2 linked regions of the Tribolium castaneum genome follow. Each later gene encodes a partner of the first gene's protein in a complex. Links are inferred from orthologs where the notes say so. Each region holds a gene or a part of one and is shown on either strand. Other genes may lie near its edges.

Region 1 (10,109 bases):
ATGTTTTCATCGCCTACTATAAAGAAAAAGCGAATTTTTTTGTTTTTTTTCTCAAATATTAAAAATTAATGTATAATACAAATAGACATATCAAATCAAAAAAAAATTAACTTTTCGAAAATGTCATAGCCAACCATGATTCCTATTTAAAAAAAATTCAACTTTATATTATTACAGTTAAACGAATGGCTGAAAAAAATCACTGATAACATTATCAAATTCTCTGTAAAAAATGCCTTTATAATGTCTTTGTTTCAAATGTGTATCTTTTATAATAAGGAAGATATGATTTAATTGTTCTGGTCGTGGTTTGCTGTGGTTTTCTGGCATGATAAGTTCATATGGTTTGCTGTCAACTGTTTAAATGTTGTCTTATTTTTGCATTTATTAGTTTTCGATAAAAATCACAATGAAAATCCTGCTACTTGTCAAGAATTTACTCTGCAAACTCATTTAAACGTGTGAATTTTTGACCTGACACTGACAGCTGTCACCTGTCATTGTTTTGTAATGTCAATTGAGACGTACATTTTTTGTGACAATTGTCACACATAGGCGATCTAACCATTATATTGTGTTTTCGCAAAAGTTTTAACAAAATCTCAAAATAAAAGTAATTAAAAAGTTAAAATAACATGATTTTTGATCACATAGAGTATTTTTTGACCTACCACACAAAGCAGCATGAACATTATCCTTCGCCTGCAAAAAGTGCCCATTTAGTTCCATTTCCTGCCGTTCCCACTTAACATAATGCCCCACAAGAGTCGGTTTTTTCAAAAAATTCCTCGTCAAGTCTTTAACATTCAAGAAAAATTCCTAAAACGTGTAAACACTAGTACCAACCCAACTTGACTAAATGCTACCAACATTGAAATTTTTTTCGTATTGCAGCGCTACCTCCATAGTATTCTGACTATAATCAAGCGTGTCCCTCCAGGCATGCAACAAGAAGGCAAACCTCAACTGTCTCGCCGTATATTTCGCTAGCGCGTCTTGTATACTAACAAAATTCTTCAAACTTTTCGACATCTTGCACCCGGCAATCGTCAAATGCCCCGAATGCAGGAAATACTTGACCCATTCGGAGGCCCCAAAGTGTGCCTCACTCTGCGCAATTTCGTTATCATGATGCGGGAATTTCAAGTCAACGCCTCCGGTGTGTATATCGAGCGTGTCGCCGAAGATGGTCGAGGCCATGGCCGAGCACTCGATGTGCCAGCCGGGGCGGCCCTTGCCCCAGGGGGAATCCCAGGCGGGCTCGCCCGGCTTGCTGCGTTTCCACAGCGCGAAGTCGTTGGGGGAATGCTTCTCGTTGCGTTGGTCGGCCGTGGTGAGGTCGCCTTCGCCCTCCTGGAGGCTGTTGGTGTCGCCGTAGGCCTCCGGCACCAGCTTGGCGTAGTAGTGGTTCGGTTGCTTGTCGAAGGCGGCGACGTCGAAGTACACCGAACCGTTGGCTTCGTAGCCGAAGCCGTTCGAGATGATTCGGGAGATGTAGCCGATTATTTCGGGGATGTACTCGCTGACGCGGGTCAGGACGTGCGGTTTGAGGATCTGGACAACGAAGGAGTTGGTTTTTTATATATTTCCAAAAAAAAAAGAAAAATTTTGTGGGGTTTTTCGTTACAATATTTTTATAAAAAAAAAACCTGTTATAGTGTTGCAAATTACCACAAAATAGTTTTAAATGGATTACCAATAGACATAACTGGGGTCAGTCTGTTTGCAGAGTTGGAAATTAATTAATTCAGTGTAACAGAAGAATAGGAAAAAAACTGATAATATTTTATTTTATTTGATTTTTAGCCATTGTTGTAAATTAACTACGTAATCTGTGACAACACTGATTATGTCTTATGTCGAGTCAAATAACGGCCTTGTAAGATTTTTATTTTAAAATTATTTGCCTTTATTACAAATTGCGAACGCACTGCAAAGCCAGACATTTATTAAGTTTTACGTTAACATGACATTTTTTTTTAGAAAATTACAAAACACCCGAATTTTTATAACTTCATTAAAAAGTGTTGTGTTTTATTTATTTGTTTATTTATTTTTTTTTATTTTTTTTTGTAATAAATAGTTCAAGACAAATACGTTTCTGTTTCTCATAATGAATATTGAGATTTGAACGATTGTGCTAATGCTATGCTATTTTATTGTACAGGGTGATGTCCGAATACGGGATCTTCGAAATTAAGAGGTTTAGAGAAAAACGAGTGACACATTCTCGGGTCCGTTTTTTGAGAAAATAATTTTGGTCAAAACCGCATCCTGCAATCGTCTTTTGTTTTCGACTTATAAACAAAAGTTAACATTTTGGTGAAATCTTAAAAAATTCATATCTTCCTTATTATAAAAGATACAAATTTGAATCAAAGTACTTTTTTACAGAGAATTTAATAATGTTATCAGCGATTTTTTTTAATCATTCGTTTAGCTGTAATAACATAAAGTTGTATTTTTTTAAATGAGAATCATAGTTGGCTATAACATTTTCGGAAAGCTTATTTTTTTCTGAACTCAAAACAATATAAATATAGTTTGATATTTTTATATGTTTTCGATAAAAAATATATTTAAAATATTTGAAAGTAGTTGGCCATGGAAAAATTATTTCACATAAAAGGTGTGAATAATCTAGAAATTTTGTGAACGGTTATTAAAGTAAAAAATGTGAAATTATAAAAATAAGTTAAAGTTATTTTCAATTGAACAAATATATGAACGTCGCAGATTTTAATTACATAAAAATGTGCAGACAATTGCAAACTATGTCTCACTACCACTTGATGCCACTTTTTTATGATTAAGTGCAATGGAGGTGACGTTGATAATGTTGTGTATTTTTTTACCGCAGATGGAATTTGATTTTGGTGTTTGGATTGACATTTTTTTGGAAAATAAAATTTTATTGATACGCAATCATACAATTAATAAGATTTTTCTTCTTCCGACATTTCTTGTTTAAAATTGGAAAATAGAATGACAACGTAAGCTTGCCATTTTAAATATAAAAACAAATAATTTTTATTAATTGCAAAAATTTGATCTCATAAAAATTTATTATGCTGTTTTTGAATTAATTAGCGTTTAAAAAATCATTAAATTATAAATACATGTTGGATAATACAATTTTCATAGTTTTAATTAAAAATCCAAAATTTTTTCATGGCCTACTATATAAAGAAAAAGCGAAATGTTTTGTTTTTTCTTAAATATTTTAAATTATGTATTACACAAATAGACATATCAAATCAGAAAAAAATAATCTTTTCGAAATTGTCACAGCCAACTATGATTCCTATTTAAAAAAATATAACTTCATGTTATTACAATTAAACGAATTTTTGAAAAAAATCGCTAATAACATTAGATTCTCTGTAAAAAATGCCTTTATAAAGTCTTTGTTTCAAATGTAAATGTTTAATAATAAAGAAAATATGATATTTTTAAGATTTCGCTAAAACGTCAACTTTTGTTTAAGTCGAAAACAAAAGACGATAGCGAGATGCGGTTTTGACCAAAATTATTTTCTCACTCGTTCTTCTCTAAACCTTGTCCTGTATTCGGACAAAAAGTAGCACTTGTACAACTTTTGCTGCGAAAATACGTACATTTAGAGCCTCCATGTCTTTGTGAAATTCTTGTTCCCAGTGCTGTGGTAATGACGTAAAAATCGCATTGTCTGTAATTGTGGCCCCAAATTTACAATCCAGCCAATCAGACAGTGGGTCTTTACTCCGCACTATGTAATTTTTCTTTGCGTTTTCAATTTTCGTATTATCACCACTTTTGACCGCATTTTCCAATTCTTCAACCGATTTAGTGAGACTAGTTGAAAAATTAATTTAATCATCTATATACAAAAAATGCCAAAATAGCTTACTTGACTAGAAGTTTCTCATACATTTGTTTCTTATCGGGATCAAAGGCATTTTGTGTGGTCTCAGCCAATTTCTCCAAAACCTGTAAACCCCCGTTACAATGTGACCACCACAAAATACAAACAACCATACCAACTTTGCGTCACTTAAAACCTCCTGTAACGACCTCTCCTCCCCAACATACCTCTCAAACAAGTAGTTCTGACGCGCCCTTTTTATGATTTTATCGTCAATATCCGTAATATTCATCACGAAAAAAATATCATAACCGAAATAATCGGCAAGGACGCGCCTCAAAATATCAAAAGTTATGTACGATCTGGCGTGCCCCATGTGCGAGGCGTCGTAAACAGTCGGCCCGCAACTGTACCAAGTCACTTTTTTGCCCGAAATCGGCCTAAACACCTCCTTCTGACGCGTCAGACTATTGAACACTTTCAGGACCGGACCGCCAGACGCCTCCGGCGCCGACCACGGGGGCTGCACACGTTTCGACATAACCTAACTCCAACCACCAAATTTGCAATTATTTAACACACCAACACCAAAACGCACTCTTCGGTGTTATCTAGCGGAAATTAAACTGTGATTGCATCAGAAGAAGGCACGGAATTCCCACAAAATCGGAATCAGCGGCCACAACACCACACAGTGCTGCCAACATGAAACGGCACCGGCGGCTCTTGACCCCGATTGGGGGCAAGGAACGTGCGACACGTGGCGGGTGAAACCCCCACATTAAATTATGGGGCGCAATAATGTAATTTTCGTAGTTTAAGCAGCAAATTTAGTTAGTTACTTGACGTGGTATTAAAATAAAAATCCCCAACTAGTTCCAAAATTTTTATTCTTAAATTAATCGCTACAAAACAATTATTGTTGGTTCAACATTTCGAGCTGTGCCGCTGTGACGTTCTTCATCCCTTCCTGGACCATGCTGAGGTTGCTTTTCCACGAGTGGAGCAAATCCCTCAATTGTTGCCACTGGGCGCGCCCAAAAGTCCTATGCATGGTGCTTGAGACGTAGACTTTCCGAGCGGCTTGGTCCATGCGGGCCCTCACCAGTTTAGTCTTCAAGACTTCGATAATAAACGCCTCGACCTCCTCAGCCTTGATCTGCAACTCTCTCTCAATCACGTCAAAACTGATCTCCGGGTTGGTCTCAGCGAGTTGCATGAAGGACAACAACCGCATCTTTTGCATGTTCTTCTCGTGGTTCAACCCCTGCGACGTGACAAACTCCTTGTGTTCTTGGTAGAATTTCAAATACGTTGCCAAATTTTCGCTGACAAAGATATTAAGCAAGTCGTGGATTAGCTCCCCTTCGAGAAATTTGACCGGCTTTAGGGCCAGTAAGGGGTCGAGGAGGAAGGTGTTGGGGTCCCCCAGGGCCGAGACGATGCACTTGATCGCGTCCTCGCGGGCATGCGAGGCGTTCTTATCGGTGTAGGTCCCCAAAAGTTCGATCATGACCTTGGCAGCCTGCTCACTGTGGTTGCTCTTTAGCAGCACCTGGTGCAACAACCGGTACAGAATCTGCAACTGCTCGCTTGTCGGTGGACACGGGGCGAACTGTTGCTTCAAATGCTCGATATCCTGGAACACCGACTTGACCTGGTCCGTTTTCTCCGCAATTAAAATCAAGTGGTAGTAGACGTGGTAGCGCATGGGGGACGTCTCGTCAAGCGACTGGAACAGCAGCCACAAGGCGCGCAGGCACACCAGCCCCAGTTTGGGGCCCTGAGCCTTGAGCAGCTTCTGGCAAAAGGCCAGGATGATGTTCTCGGACCGGTCGGCCGGGATCTAAAACACGTCCAATACCACGCGCAAATGATTCGAGACACTTACAAGCACCATGATTGAGACAATGTCGTTGAGCACCATCTCAACTTCGGGCTCCTGGCCCTCCTTGAAACAGGCCTCGCATACGCCGATTATTTTGTGTAGGTCGTCTTCGATGCCCTTGACTGATTTTTCCTCCGAAATTTCAGCGCCTAAACTTTTTAAGTAAATGCGGAGCTCTTGCGCCTAAAACATAACCTCAAAGTGTCATATGGACACAAAATGCCACAAATGGGCGCCTACCTGGTCCTCGGGACTCACGTCGATAAAGACAGGGGGCACTTGCATTTTTCTACAGTTAGTTCACGGTTTTTTGCAATTTTTAACTGTTTTAAGGGGAAAAACCACACCGCAAATTTGATGGTTATGTTGGCAATGCGCATGCGCAAACGCCAAGTTGTTACTTTTTTAAATTTGGTGGCCAAGTTGGCCACAAAAATTAAAACACCGAATAATTAATAAAATTTATTATTTAATTCAACAAGTCGGTTATTTGTTGGGCGTTATTTGGGTCAGCTGTCTCAGTTGTTTTAGGACCGTTTCCAGTAACTTCTTCTTGTCTCTTTCGTTCTTTTTCAATACTGTGAACATAGTTTTCTTATCGCCTTCTTTCAATCTACAAGAATCAATTAACTTGTGGTTTAATAACCCGATTTGTTACTTTTCGAGCAATACTATCGCATCATCTGGATTGACTTGCTTATATTTGCTGGTTTCTTGCCCATAGTCGTGGAAATAAGTGGGCCAGTCCCATGACGTGAACAGGTCTAAAGTCTCCCGTAGTTTGGTAAAATACGACAAGAGGACGTCCTCTTGTAGGCCTTTGACGGGCTCAGAGGCCGCAAATTCTGTAAAACTTGTTTAAATTTCCGGTTATCATTTTTCGATTAATTACGTTCACACTGTAGTAAATCTAAATTGATTTGGTTTAAGGCCCCCATGGAAATTTGCTTGATCTCGTCATTCATCAACAGTTGAAACATCGAATTGGCAATGTGTTCACACGCCGACTTACACGCAACTTGCGCCACCTCCGGCTACAAATCACTCGATAAAAAATCAACAAAACCAATCAACAAACCGGTAAATTGGTGAAACTCTGAAACGTCGTCTGGAGGAAAGCAATCAAATCGGAGATGTAACTAGAGGCGTGTCCTGACGGCTCACCCAACAGCCAATCATAACTCTCCAATTCGTAAAACTCGTTCAATTTTTGGCGCAATTTTTCGCAAATTTGGCGCACGGCGTCTTCACGAGCCACGCGGAACATGGCTGGTTGGCCTTGGACCACTCCCGTGGACACCCCTCGAGACTCCTCCCTAAATGTTTTGTTTTTATTGGCGGATTAATTTTGTGCCCTACCCTGTAATATTTGAAATAAACTGGTCCAAGTAGACCGTGGCTTCCTCCAAATAGCCCGTATCGATGATTATTTGGATAATTTCCTGAAGATTGATGTGCGGGCTACGAAACGTTGACGACAAACAACCGCTAAACGTCCGCGTCAGGAGCAAATTCATCGACTTGCGGATCATTTCGTCGACTTCCACTTGACTACAATTCAGTCACAGCCCACTTCGATTGGAATTATTCAACAACCAAACCTTAAATTCAAATCCTCGGAGAATTTCAAACACGCGTAAATAAACTCCTTGACTTGTTGGTAGACCTTGGGCACCATCCCCGAAAAGGGGAACTTGTGCGGGAAAACCACATCGTTGGGCAAGTCCTCGTCCCATGGAAACGACGACAAAATATGCTCATACTCCTCGAGATCGTACACTTGAATCGGCTGAAAATCCTCCTTCGAGAGAATTTCCCGAAAGACTTGCACCCATCTCTGCATCAAAACTTCGGTATAATGGTCACGTAATTCACGCACCAACTCCCACAACGGTTTCACCGAATAACCATAATTACGCAAAGTCGTGCAAAAAAGCATGATCAAGTCTTTAATGCGCAGGATCAAGGTGGCGTCGGTACAATACGCCTGAAATTTTTTTCATAACCGATTGAGTAAACAAATTTTTCGGGTAATTATACCGAATGTGTTTGCAAAGCACTGACGATTTTTGACAACGCCATCGTCCACATTTCGTCCAAGAAGGCGCGGGTTATGAGCCCGTTCCCGGTGTTTAACACGTGATCCTCCAAAATAAAGAAACCGAGGACGGCGTGAATGTAGGCACGGTAGCTCTCTTCACACTCGTGCTGCGGGAACAAAAGACGATCACGATACAAGTCACAGCCGACTTACCATATTAGTGGGCGGCTGTAAAACCAAGCGGGCCTGTTTCGTCCTTTCGGCCCTATAGTACGTCTCGAAAGTGGCCCTCGTATTAAGCACTGTTGAAATATGCAAACTGCGATAAATCGGCGAAAAATCGATCAATTCTTGGGCACTTAAATCCTCCTCAGAGAAGTGACCAACGCCGTCACCTAAATTACAATATTTAACAAAAAATTAAATACGGAATTAAATCAAGTGACCTGACGGTTGTGGCGCTATTCTTTTTTTCTTGCGTCCGATGACTGTGGGGTCACTGGCCAACTGTTCACTAGTCTACAATTTCATCACTTTCAATAAGTAAACGAATGACAGAATCATAGCCTCCTTGATGGGCAATGTTTAATCATTAAAAGTTACGTATCCATCAAGGAGGCTAATAATCGAGTTAAACTGACGTGTTTCATGGCCACTTCTCCAATTTTCGGGGAAAATTTGCGAATATTTTCCAGAAAGTCCTTCAAGTCGGACATTGAGGCCTTTTCGATGCTTTCCCTAATCCTGCAAAAGTCGGTATTGCAGGACACTGTAACCGTTTTTTTTTGACTCACTTCGGTATGCTCTCCCTTAACTGGTAAGAAAAGCGATAATTGGCCACGTGGAGCAGGTGTGAGTGTTCCAGCTCCTCTAAAGTTTTCAAGGCGGGGTAATAACTACAAAATTGTTACAAGTTTGCCTAGTTTTTGATTTTTGTTACCGTTTTTCCGCGATTTGTTTTTTTAATTTGGAATAAGAGGTCAAAACCGGCAAACAGAGATTAAGTTGGGCGATTACGACGGCAATGTTGCTCTGGACTTTGCGCGCTTGTAGCAGCTCATTGCCCGATTTTGAGATGTTTTTTGCTGCTTGGTGCAGTTGGGTGTCGAGGGTGGTGACCTGGCCCTACAATTGGTGTGAATTTTGTGCTAGGATTGTGGCAAGTTTTACGTTTAGTTTTTTGGCGTGGTTTCGCACTTCTAACAACTCTCTGATTGCTTCAATAAATCCCTGATAGTACACATTGCAAAGGCGTTCAATGTCTTTGTTGTGGTGTTGGATGCGTTGGTCTAACTTCTCGCGGAACTTTACGTTCTGGTCGTTATCATAAATTGCCCTGAAACTGGAAGTGAAAGACCGAACTTAAAATTTTACGCCCACCTAAAAGTTGGGCCCCAGTAATCGTCAACTCCTTCGATTTCTTGCAGATACAAGTCGTATTGCGAGTTTTCCCCACTTTGGGGGTCACCCATGGTGGATTTATTGTGTTTTTTTGATTTTTAAATAAAAAAATCGTAATTAAAATTGTGAGGTTACGTGACGTGACAATTGACACTTTGACACTGCCACCACACCGACTCGAATATCCCTACATTTCAAATTATTGATCCATTTATTTTATTTCTTTATTATCGTACAAAAAATTATCTAATAATACTCCGGGGTTTTGCAGAACGGTAGAAGACACAAGATTCCAGTCACAATCTCGACGAATTGTAGGCCGACTTGTATGCCGCAAATAATGTACTCAAATCTCAAAGCATGGCTTTGCCAAATCATAAAATACAAAACTCCAGCTAGTGAAGGGATCGTCAGGAAAATTGCGACCAGAACTGGCCATTCTGTAAAAAATCAAGTCCAGATAATGTTGGCCCAAAAAACCACTCACTTCTCTCGGTCAGGTTGCCCTTCCTTGCCAAAATCACCCGAAACAGCTCAATCACGCAAACAGCCATCAGAATACCGAAATCGGTGGAAAAGTGCTTCAAATCGGGGAAATTCATGTACTTTACCACGTTCATCCCGATCTCACAAACGGCAAACAGGCCGAAATAGTACGAGTTTAAGTACAACAGCACTTCGAAAGTCAGCGAGGTGTTCATTAGGGGCTCAATTGTGCTCAATTAAGCCGAGTTTTTTAATATAGAATATAAAACAAACACTTGTTTATGTGGGTATTGATGGGGCAAGAGTGCCAACACAACCACAAACAAACCCTGGCGATTTGGGGAAACTAATCAACATTTCGGTGTTTCCAACGATTTGAATTACTGTTTTTTCATTAATTAAGAAGTTAAAACACGTTATAGAGGAATAAAAACGCAATAAAATTAAAT
Region 2 (10,840 bases), on another chromosome or scaffold:
AAACGCATACGAGCCCCAGGACACCACCGAAACACTGTGAAAGGGCGCGCACAGATTTTACACTCCTTGCCATATTTTTCTTTAGTCTGAAATCACATTTATTGAATAAATCAGGGAGAGTTGTGGCCCAGGAGATACAAACCATGCGAATATAAGGGTTGTCCCCCAGACAGGTTTGACACAAAATCGGGAAGTCCTAAAGTGAGGTTAAATCAGATTTACACTAGTTCCAGTTTAGGACTTACCGCATCCTCCCAGTTTTGCCGATTGTATGTGTTTGTTGTTTTTGACGTTGCCATTGCAGTTTCACACCATTTATGCTCGGGTTTTGCTCAAATTATACGAAAACTAAAAACAAGCTTTATTGATAGTTACTTGACGTGACTCAGTGCTGCCAACCTGTGTATGGGAGGGGACGTGGCGCAGGCGTTTTGGGGCGAGAGGTGATCCATTTATATCCTTTTATGGCAAACATAACCGCTAGATAAATAGGTTTTGCGAAATTTGTGAAATAAAATTATTTGCCAAGTGTTCATAACCAGTGCGTGTGCCAAGAGAATTTCTCGTAAACTGCCAACACGTAGTGTAAACTTTTCTACTACAATATCTCCGTGTTCCACTTGAGGATTCTTACCATTTCCGGCAAACCGGATCATTTTTCACATAAAAAAAACAGGAAAATGTCATTTGCATCAAGTAAGTGTGACCGTTTTTTGTTTCATTTGACAGGTTGCGATAATCAAGCCACCCCGTGTAATTCCGGTTGGTTTAATTTTGAAATGGAATTTATCTTATCTTTTCCAGAGAGTATTTACGCGACTTTGCCGCGGACCCAACGAGGACAGCCCCTGGTGTTGGGCGGGGATCCCAAAGGCAAGAACTTTCTCTACACCAATGGCAATTCCGTGATCATTCGCAACATCCAAGTAAAAAAAACCTTTCCTCCCTTAGAAACCCACTCCAATTGGTTTGTTACAGAACCCTGCAATTGCCGACGTCTACACGGAACATTCCTGTCCGGTAAACGTCGCCAAGTACTCCCCTAGCGGCTTCTACATCGCCTCTGGAGGTAAATCAACACACTGGAGCCCCCGAAAATTAAAACAAACTGGTTTTATTTCTAGACCAATCGGGCAAAGTCAGAATCTGGGACACAGTCAACAAGGAGCACATCCTTAAAAATGAGTTTCACCCAATCGGGGGGCCCATCAAAGATATCGCTTGGTCCCCTGATAACCAACGAATGGTCGTGGTTGGCGAAGGCCGCGAACGCTTCGGTCATGTTTTCATGTCCGAAACGGGAACTTCCGTTGGCGAAATCTCAGGCCAATCAAAACCCATCAATTCCTGCGATTTCAAACCCACGAGACCTTTCAGAATCATCACGGGGTCTGAAGACAACACCATTGCGGTTTTCGAGGGGCCCCCGTTTAAGTTCAAAATGACCAAGCAGGTAAGGAGGCCACGACTCGTGTCGCCAACCCACAAAATTAAATACACTAGCTTTGAACTGACAAACCAACACCACTTTTAACGCAATTTCACATTTTTTTGACCCAATTTACCTTTTTTTTTATTGCGTGATAATCGAAATGTCCTTGACGAAAACTAATTTGGGGGGAAATACCTGTTCATAAAGTAACCATAGGTGGCTATGATTTTGGTCAACGTCACGTGATTGTTTTTTACAGGAGCACAGCAGGTTTGTGCAAGCCGTTCGTTATTCACCCACCGGTAATTTATTTGCCTCGGCTGGGTTCGATGGTAAGGTGTTTCTGTACGATGGTACGTCCTCCGATTTGGTGGGGGAAGTGGGAAGCCCCGCCCACAGCGGGGGCGTGTATGGGGTTAGTTGGAGTCCCGACGGTAAACAATTGCTAACAGCCAGTGGGGACAAAACTGCGAAATTGTGGGACGTGGAAACGAGACAAGTCGTCTCTGAATTCGTCCTAGGTTCGACAGTTGAAGATCAACAAGTGGGTTAAGCCACGCCCACTAACGTCCTCTTTTAAGTATATAATATTTTATAGGTTTCGTGTTTATGGCAAAACGAATACTTGCTCACGGTTTCTTTGAGTGGTTTTATTAATTATTTGGATATTAATGACCCAACGAAGCCGCTCCGGGTTGTTAAAGGGCACAATAAACCCATCACTGTCTTAGAATTGAGCGAAGATCGTGGTACGATCTTTACCGGGTCGCATGATGGTAATGTGACTCGATGGAACGCCGAAACTGGGGAGAACGATCGGGTTGAGGGCGTGGGTCATGGTAACCAGATCAATGGGATGAGGGTACATGGTGGTACTTTGTACACTTGTGGTATTGATGACTCTTTAAAACAAATCGACATTGAGGGCAACACGTACAAAGGGCAAGATTTGAAGTTGGGGTCGCAACCTCGCGGAATGGACATTTTAAAAGAGCAAAATGTGGTGGTCACAGCGAGTGTTAACGAAATCACCGTCTCGCAAGATAACAGGAAAGCAAGCACTTTGAAGGTTTGAAACAGTCAATTTCGAGCAGTGGTCTATGGCTTTAAAATTAAGTTGGCAAACTTGACTATCAAATGTCCCCAACACCAACAATTCAATATTTCCAACTTCATTTCAGTCAGAGATCAATGAGAAATTCAGTAAAGTGACAAGTTTCATAATTAGTTAAACAGCGAACTGTCATTTATACAAATAATAACTGTTAAAATTTTCAGTTTATCAAATTTACAATAGGATGTCTCACCTAAGACTTTCAAGCCCGATATTTCAGTTATTTGTCAACGGATTCTTATGAAATTTAAAAATCAGATATTTTAGAAGGTAAAGATTAGATATAATCCAACTCAATTCTTAAAAACGTCATTTTTACAAGCCTTCTTAAAATGTTAAATCATTTAAACTTGTACTAAAAAATATTTTTTTTGTGTGGCCACCTATTTTTCAAGATTTAATCATCTGATAATAGAAATTGGGCTTAATTTTAAATAAAAGAATTTTTTAACTTAATTTTTTAGCTCCTAATTGAAAAGCTCGAAAGTGTTAGGTGAGCCACCCTGTATGAAAGTTTTGACGAGTCGCTCTTTGCTGATTTTCTTTTTTTGAAAGCATTTGTTTTATCTTATTGACGAAAACAATTGAAGGTGTCTTATGAACCGTCAAGTGTCAGCGTTTCGCCGCGGGGTCACGTGGCTGTGGGTGGTGCCATGGACAACAAGGTGCATTTATACGAACTGAAAGGCACAGAGTTGGTACCCTTGCAAGAATTGGACCATTTGGGTGCCGTAACAGACGTTGCCTACTCTCCCGATGACAAGTATCTAGTGGCCTGTGATGCCCACAGAAAAGTCGTACTGTATAGTGTTCCTGAATACAAGGTAAGTTTTTGTGCGTCTGTAGTTACCATTGATGAAATTAATTGTTGCACGCATTCGGAACAGAATGTAAGTAATAACCAAATTTTAATTGTTTGCTTTTTACACATTTTTCGCGTTTTTGATTACAATAATCGTTATTAGCTCGCCACCAATCAAGAATGGGGTTTCCACAACGCGCGTGTTAACAGCGTTGCTTGGTCGCCCGACTCTTTGCTAGTCGCTAGTGGTAGTTTGGACACGAGTATCATTATCTGGTCTGTTGAAAAGCCCGCCAAACATATTATAATCAAAAGTGAGTAGTTTGTGTTAAGTAAGGGCGGAAAATAAGGGTTGTTTTCAGACGCTCATGCTCAAAGTCAAGTCACTAGATTAGCCTGGCTTGACGACCAGACTTTGGTCTCAGTGGGGCAGGATTGCAACACGAAATTGTGGACCATCACCAAGTTCTAATAATTTTTTTAAATGGCCTTTTTGCATTTAACGTAAAGCTTTTTTATTTATTACATACAGTAGGGTGATGCAGTGGCGGGCCTAACCGACGTGTCAATTAATTTATTTCAAGTATTGATTTTCTAATAGTGTAAATATTTAAATCGAGGAGTGTTATGATGAATGAAAAATCTGCTAAATCATCCAAATACTATAATCTAAAAAGTATTATTTTTGTTTATATTGAATAAATAGCTGTCTGATAAAGTTCAAGTTATTTTTTTGCGCTTCCTGGTGTGGTACTCCTCTGGGTGTCGGTACGAGACGTGTTTTCTCAAAGCGTCCCGACTTCGTGACACGTGGGGGCAAGACTGGCAGGCATGGTAAGCCTCTTCGTGGGTCTCCATGTGCACGCGCAAATTGTACTGATTACTGAGGTATTTGCCACAAAGGAAGCACTTGCAAGTTTCAGACAAGTCTTTCGCATGTTTTTTACTCGGAAGCGAGTAACTGTCGTCTTCTTCGTCGTTGTTTTTCAGGAAAGTTTCCGCAAAATCTGTAAGAAAATTAAGAGGGGACACCAACAAGCCGTTCGAGCTTACGTTCGGTTGCTTTTTCCGAACTTTCGGTTTTGTGCGCATTGTCGGTTGAGTTTGGTCTTTTTTCGCTTGAAATGTCGTTTAGTTGGGGTTTTTCAGGTACCTAACAAAATCTAGGTTTACGTTTGGTTACATAACGGGCCACGGTGCCAATAAGTAATTAGGGCTTTGGGGACTAACCTTCATATCACATAGTCCTTGTATTTTGAGGAGCTTGGCCAGGGAGAGCAGCCCTGGCAGCTGCTCCTTGGAGACCACGCACTGCCCCCTGTATATGAACGCCAGGACGGCCTTAATGTCGCTCAGGGCGACGTTATGCAGCACAATGACCGGATGCTGCGTGTCCCTCATTTCCTACAAGTGGGCGTAATGTCGTTTAAAAATAGACGGTGATTTCGCGAAAACTCACCTGGAACAGCTGGAAAAAGTACACACTGCACATTGCTAACACCAGTTTGTGCGCCTTAACGGTGTGGGATTCGACCGAGATGGTGACATCGGTGAGAACGTCGTTTTCGAGGAACGTGGTGAGGTTTTTGAGGAGGGTGAGCTCTTGGTAGTGCCATCGCAGGACGAACTGCTCGCTCATTGTGACGCGTCAGCTTGGATGGGAAAAATCGCAGGAACTGGCCCACAAACCCAGAATTTATCCAGCTTGGCTATTTTTAAAACTACTGGAGAACAAAACAGGTGCCAGCAAATTTGCTAACCTTTCAATTTCAAACGGAAATAACACGACGGGTTTATTGTTATTTGGTTTATTTTTACGTAGCAGGGGCTTATCAAAATTAAAACCGATTTTCACAATTGGGTGATTGGTTTATAATTAGACGCCTAAAATTAATCGTTACTCATTAGCTAATCAACTCATAAATGCACAGATGGCAACGGTGGTTTCCTTAATTTACAAAACAATATTTTACAACTGACACAAAGTCGCGTCGATCTGGGTTAGAGAGGGCGCGATCATCTTCAATTTCCTCCTGTACATCGGGTCCTTCTCGAGCGGATTCCGCTCCAAGTAAACTGTAGCCAGCTTTTTGTTCTTCGATAAATTCTCGACAGTTCCCCAATCGGAAACTTCATTATCATTCATCCAAAACTCCTCCAAGTCGTTCAAATGCTCGATGTTTTCAATCAACTTTATTTTATTTTTCGCCAAATCCAAGGTCTGTAGCAACGTGTTATGCGTAAGATTTTCTATTTTATGAATTCCGTTCTCGGAAATGTACAGTTCGGTCAATTGTGTGAGCTTATCCAAATTCTCGATACGCGTTATTCGGTTGCTTTGCAGGCTCAGACACGTCACGTTGGTCAGACTGTCCAAGTTTTTTATTTTTGATATTTTATTTTTGCCCAAGTAGAGGTGGGTCAGGGCTGGCATGTTTTCCAGGTTCTCTATGTCCTGCAATTAGGACGGTTTTAGAAGTCACAGATTATGACTAACAACTGAAAACACTCAAAGGATAAACTACGAAGATCTAAAGGTTAGAATATGAAACGACGTACAAATAAAACGTTCTCGTCCTCGATAGCTCCGTTAATGTCGCCAGAGGGCGCATTTCAAAACATGGTTGTATTTTTATTACTGTTCACACATAGCAAACAAAAAAAAACAGGCAGATATAGCATTAAATTCTCAATATTCAGAGATAAACACAGTGCAAAAATTTTATCGTAAACTTTTACCAATTTTGCACTCTGTCAGATATTTTTCAAAACGCTGCGAATACGGTTACAGATACAAGAAAAATGTTAGGAAGAAAATTGTAGAGAATTAAATTTCCTACAAAAAAGTCCGCGAGACCATGTTCCTATCTTGAACCATTTAGGCCCCAAAGTCGTTCAAAGACGCTCAAGCAACGGATTTCCTTAATTTTGCCGGTGGTCAAGTATTGGAAAGTTAATTCGTACCTAAACTATTAAAGATAGAAATATGGTGTCGCGGACTTTTTTGTAGAAAATTTTATTCTCTACAACTTTGTTCCTTACACTTTTTTTGTATCTTCAACTGTATTCGCAGAGCTCGCAGAAATATAAGGTGGAACGCAAATTGATAATTCTAAGCGATAACATTTATCAAAACGCTGGGAATACGGCGCAGTTTCGTCTCCTAAGTTATTATCCTCCATAGGATAAACACTTACCCTAATTTTGTTGTCCCCCAGCTCCAGCATTGTCAGCTTCTGCAAGTGCTTCACATTTTTGATTTTGCTGATTTTGTTCGACGACAGGAAGAGTTTTTCTAAATTGTGCAAATTCTCCAGTCCCTCAATCTCCTTGATACGATTAAACGACAAATCTAGAATCCTTTTAAAGCCATATTTCGCAACATTCACAAATGAGTCACTCCTTACTCTAAATTAACCAAACATCCCAGATTTTCCATTTTGACGATTTGGTTATCGTACAATTCCAATTCGCGGAGCGTGACTAACGTGTCCAAATTCTCAATTTTGGTGATCAAATTCCACCTCAGGAAGAGGCGCTCGATTTGTGTCAAGGGCTCAAGGTTTTCGAGCTTGCTGATCCTGCCATGGTTTAGGTCCAGCTCAAGGGTGTCCGGGTCTATTACCATTATTTCGTTGACAGTGGCCCCTTTTTCCTTATTGTCGTTCGAAGTGGACGTCTCTGGGGCTAACAATGAGCATGGACTTTCGACGAAAGTAACGAATTCTCTTACCGGGCTCGGGGGAACTCTCGTTTTGTTGCGGAGAAGGCATTTTTCGCACTCACACTGGACTATTTCTGTTTATTGCAATTTAATTAAGTGACTAATTTAAAGGCGGGTGACAGCAAACATCCGTGACGTTTGAGTTTGACTTCAACACGTGCAGCCAACCTATTAAATCAAATCGTCTTCCCCTTAACCCCTTATTCACACGTTAATTAAAGTAAACTGTACTTGCAATTGGTCGCAAGTATTTATTTACAGAGCAAAGACAACAATTTACTTGCAAGTGTGTTTTTTAGACAAAATTACCACAACCGGCAATAGCGTTGTGTTGGCAATTGCTGTTTTGTCAGTCATTTGTCAAAAACTACTTTTAGTTAAATTAAAATAATTTATTATTATTTGTGGCCAAAATAGTAGCGGAGCACCATGTCGGAGAAAAGCGCGGCTATCCGCACCCAACTCTCCAACATAATCGCGTCCGGGGGCTCCCACAAAGACCAGGCCGAAAAGTGAGGTTATGTAAAAAAAATTAAAAAAAACATTAATTTTTAACAGATATCGCGGTATTCTTGAGAACATCCTCGCCGGTTCGGGCCCCGAGCTGACCGAAGGCTTGCAGATATTCATCGAAGCAAGTCCGTACCCCCCACAGCCACCAACCCAGTCTAACTCAAGTCGTTTCAGTTGTCAATGAGAACGTTAGTTTGGTCATCTCGCGCCAAATCCTGACCGAAATAAGCTCGCATTTGATGAAACTACCCGACGATGTTTCCAAAACTGTCTCACACTTTATGCTTGAGAAGGTGCAACCCCGGGTTATTTCGTTTGAGGAGCAGGTGGCAAGTATTCGCCAACATTTGGCCGATATCTACGAACGTAACCACATGTGGCGCGAGGCTGCAGCTGTCCTGGTGGGAATCCCGCTCGAAACCGGCCAGAAACAATACACCGTGGATTACAAACTTGAAACGTATTTGAAAATCGCGAGGTTGTATCTTGAGGATGACGATCCGGTCCAGGCTGAGGCTTTCATCAACCGGGCGTCGCTGCTTCAGGCCGAGTCACGGAATGAGCAGCTTCAAATTTATTACAAAGTTTGTTATGCTCGAGTTTTGGATTATCGGCGGAAGTTTATTGAGGCGGCTCAGAGATACAATGAATTGTCCTATAGGACGATTGTTCATGAAGATGAACGCATGACAGCCCTTCGGAATGCTTTAGTTTGCACTGTTTTGGCTTCAGCGGGGCAACAAAGATCGCGCATGTTGGCCACACTGTTCAAGGACGAGAGGTGCCAACAGTTGCCAGCAGTGGCGATTTTGGAAAAAATGTACCTCGAAAGAATCATCAGGAGGTCCGAATTGAGGGATTTTGAGGCCTTGTTGCAGGTACGTGTATAAAAAGTGTTGTATTGTTAGTTGCATAACTATGATAAATTTGTATTTTTTTGAGTCCTTTGTACAATTAAATACTGAAAAATTATTGACATAAAAGTATCATCTTGAATTAAATTGATTGAAACAAGTTTTAAAGAAAATCTGCAAAAGCAATAAAAATACTAATACCATTTGTTAATTTGATAATCAGTATTATTAATTATTATTAATATTATAAATAAAATTATTATTATTAATTATCACCCTTACAAACGTATAATCATAAAATGAAGATGAATGTATTCAAATACCAACACAAGTAATATCTCTCTTAAGGGACACCTCCGATAAGCGGACCCCTCTGACAAACGGGCCTTTTTTTAGATAATGTATTTTAAGCGGACGCTCCAATAAACGGACGCGCACAATGCAATTCAAATCCTTGGAAACAAAATATCTCCTTTAAGCGGACAGCACATCATACGCGCGTGTGATTAATAGTTATTATGACAATTGATCAAAAAAATCGGGGAATCACATAAGTAGGTAGTACATGTTTTATGGAAGTGTAACGTTTGTGAAAAGCGAAGCCTTTTATTTTAGTTTGTTTTTATATATAAATTGCTATTTCTTTTCCATTAAGCGGACAAAAAGCATGTCGGTGTCCGCTTATGGGAGGTTTCACTGTAACCCTAACTTTTTTCTCAGATGATTTATTCCCGATGTCATTTTAGGAACATTTTTTTGTCTCATTAAAGTATTATGGTGAAATAAGATTGCTGGTTTAGCACGTTTTAGGTTTCTGTTTAATCAGAGCCGGATTACGGTTACACTTTGTGTAATGCATGTGCTTTAAATAGTTCACACAGGGAAAAATGAAATGTGTGTTAAGTTATCTACTGATATTTCCTCCTTGTAAATGCCGATGAACTCCACTGTGAGTTTAATTTAAGCAAAGCTGCGTTAAATTTAACCTTTGTCTACTTTTGACTTAGGTTTAGTACCAATAAAAACGATTTAATTAAAGTTCTTAATTGATTTCATATTTATTTAATTGATTTTTTATTTACAAAAAATGAATTTCATAATACTGTTGACGTCGATATTTGTCTACGTCGAAATAATGCGCGCCGAGACGGATTCCAGAAATCTAATAATAAACTGATCATCTATATAACATCTCACGAGGTTATTTACGTGTGAGAATAAAAAAGTAATGTGATGCAACGGAGCAACTAATTGAGGATAATACTCTTTATTGTTTAATATCGTCACACTTTGTAAACACAGTGATGCATGAGTTGTTTGCCGTAATTGCAGGTCTTATCACTTGCTTAATTAACGGGAATTAACTAACGCTTTATTATCACAATGTTGCAAAGGTTAAGCGACCTCTTATAAAACTGTCGATTCATTGTAGCCCCACCAAAAGGCGAGCACCATTGATGGGTCAACAATTCTGGACCGCGCCGTTATCGAACACAATCTCCTGTCTGCTAGTAAACTTTATAATAATATTAGTTTCGAAGAGTTGGGAGCTTTGCTCGAAATACACCCTTCCAAGGCTGAAAAAATCGCAAGTCAGATGATAACCGAAGGGCGAATGAACGGTTACATTGACCAAATCGATTCAATCGTCCACTTTGAAAGTACTAAAGCTGGTGTTGTTTACGATGTGTATTTGATCGCTTTGTTCCAGCTCGTGAAACTTTGCCCCAGTGGGACAAACAAATCCAGTCTCTCTGCTACCAGGTGAATTCAATCATTGAATCAATCGCAAAAAGCGAGCCCGAATGGATCAGTAAGGTGATGGAGGAGCAGATGGATCTTAAGTGAAACGTGTCTTTTGTAAATTACATTTTATTTGTTTTACAATACTTGTCATAATCATAAAACAATTGAATTAAAAGCTTGCACAAGTAAAAAACACGTGTGGGAAGTAGCAATTTTTTGAGAAGTATCCGGAAACGGTAACAAAAGGACGACTTCACTAAAACTACTACAAACTGAAAATACAAGACGTATTCATGTATATGTTTTAATACTAAAAAGTCCCATAGAACAATTAAAATATCTACAATACAGCAGGCTGAAACGTGTCTTGGTTCTAATACAATTTGGAACTGACGAATCTCTGATTAAGCCTCTAACTCAACGGCCAGACCGATCTTGTGGCCGCCGTTATTGAAGTTCTTGCCGTCAATGAGGGCCGACAAAGTTAGAGTCACACCTGCCAACCAAACAAAGCCAATCAACCCCCGACCAACCTCCCCCAACTACCCACCTTCACGCAAACGCTGCTGATACCCCAAACCGATCTGACTGGAATTGTTGACCTTGGCGCGAATCGCGGCGTCTTGATCCAAGTCGTATTTAGCCCCTATTCCGA

Evidence for each region.
Region 2: eIF3m (region 1) and CSN4 share a complex: the UniProt entries of both Caenorhabditis elegans proteins name them as parts of the CSN complex. The link is inferred for Tribolium castaneum from reciprocal best matches to the Caenorhabditis elegans genes cif-1 and csn-4.

What each region holds. Positions count from the first base shown.
Region 1 is NC_087400.1:749,578-759,686, forward strand, and holds eIF3m (eukaryotic translation initiation factor 3 subunit M), read right to left. Parts: upstream 6,148-10,109; 5' UTR 6,018-6,147; coding exon 5,973-6,017; intron 5,916-5,972; coding exon 5,736-5,915; intron 5,691-5,735; coding exon 4,761-5,690; 3' UTR 4,718-4,760; downstream 1-4,717. Other genes in the region: CysRS (cysteine--tRNA ligase, cytoplasmic), read right to left, coding at 672-819, 871-1,554, 3,618-3,834, 3,890-3,969, 4,020-4,385; Sec15 (exocyst complex component 6), read right to left, coding at 6,219-6,345, 6,391-6,577, 6,625-6,766, 6,811-7,048, 7,092-7,283, 7,334-7,719, 7,773-7,940, 7,987-8,168 and 6 more; transmembrane protein 80, read right to left, coding at 9,421-9,614, 9,662-9,875. UniProt on the Caenorhabditis elegans protein: Component of the eukaryotic translation initiation factor 3 (eIF-3) complex, which is involved in protein synthesis of a specialized repertoire of mRNAs and, together with other initiation factors, stimulates binding of mRNA and methionyl-tRNAi to the 40S ribosome.
Region 2 is NC_087399.1:5,884,150-5,894,989, forward strand, and holds CSN4 (COP9 signalosome complex subunit 4), read left to right. Parts: upstream 1-4,987; 5' UTR 4,988-5,005; coding exon 5,006-5,088; intron 5,089-5,140; exon of another isoform or gene 5,141-5,317; coding exon of another isoform or gene 5,318-5,803; intron 5,804-6,545; coding exon of another isoform or gene 6,546-6,708; intron 6,709-6,755; coding exon of another isoform or gene 6,756-7,029; intron 7,030-7,081; coding exon of another isoform or gene 7,082-7,121; exon of another isoform or gene 7,122-7,236; intron 7,237-7,361; exon of another isoform or gene 7,362-7,501; coding exon of another isoform or gene 7,502-7,584; intron 7,585-7,630; coding exon 7,631-7,710; intron 7,711-7,759; coding exon 7,760-8,463; intron 8,464-9,871; coding exon 9,872-10,100; intron 10,101-10,150; coding exon 10,151-10,287; 3' UTR 10,288-10,380; downstream 10,381-10,840. Other genes in the region: pre-mRNA-splicing factor RBM22, read right to left, coding at 1-86, 143-196, 246-299; flr (actin-interacting protein 1), read left to right, coding at 681-696, 805-926, 979-1,069, 1,125-1,453, 1,692-1,976, 2,031-2,501, 3,137-3,370, 3,512-3,662 and 1 more; longitudinals lacking protein, isoforms H/M/V, read right to left, coding at 4,069-4,355, 4,402-4,501, 4,579-4,752, 4,808-4,987; sds22 (protein phosphatase 1 regulatory subunit 7), read right to left, coding at 5,318-5,803, 6,546-6,708, 6,756-7,029, 7,082-7,121; voltage-dependent anion-selective channel, read right to left, coding at 10,590-10,681, 10,736-10,840. UniProt on the Caenorhabditis elegans protein: Component of the COP9 signalosome complex (CSN), a complex involved in various cellular and developmental processes.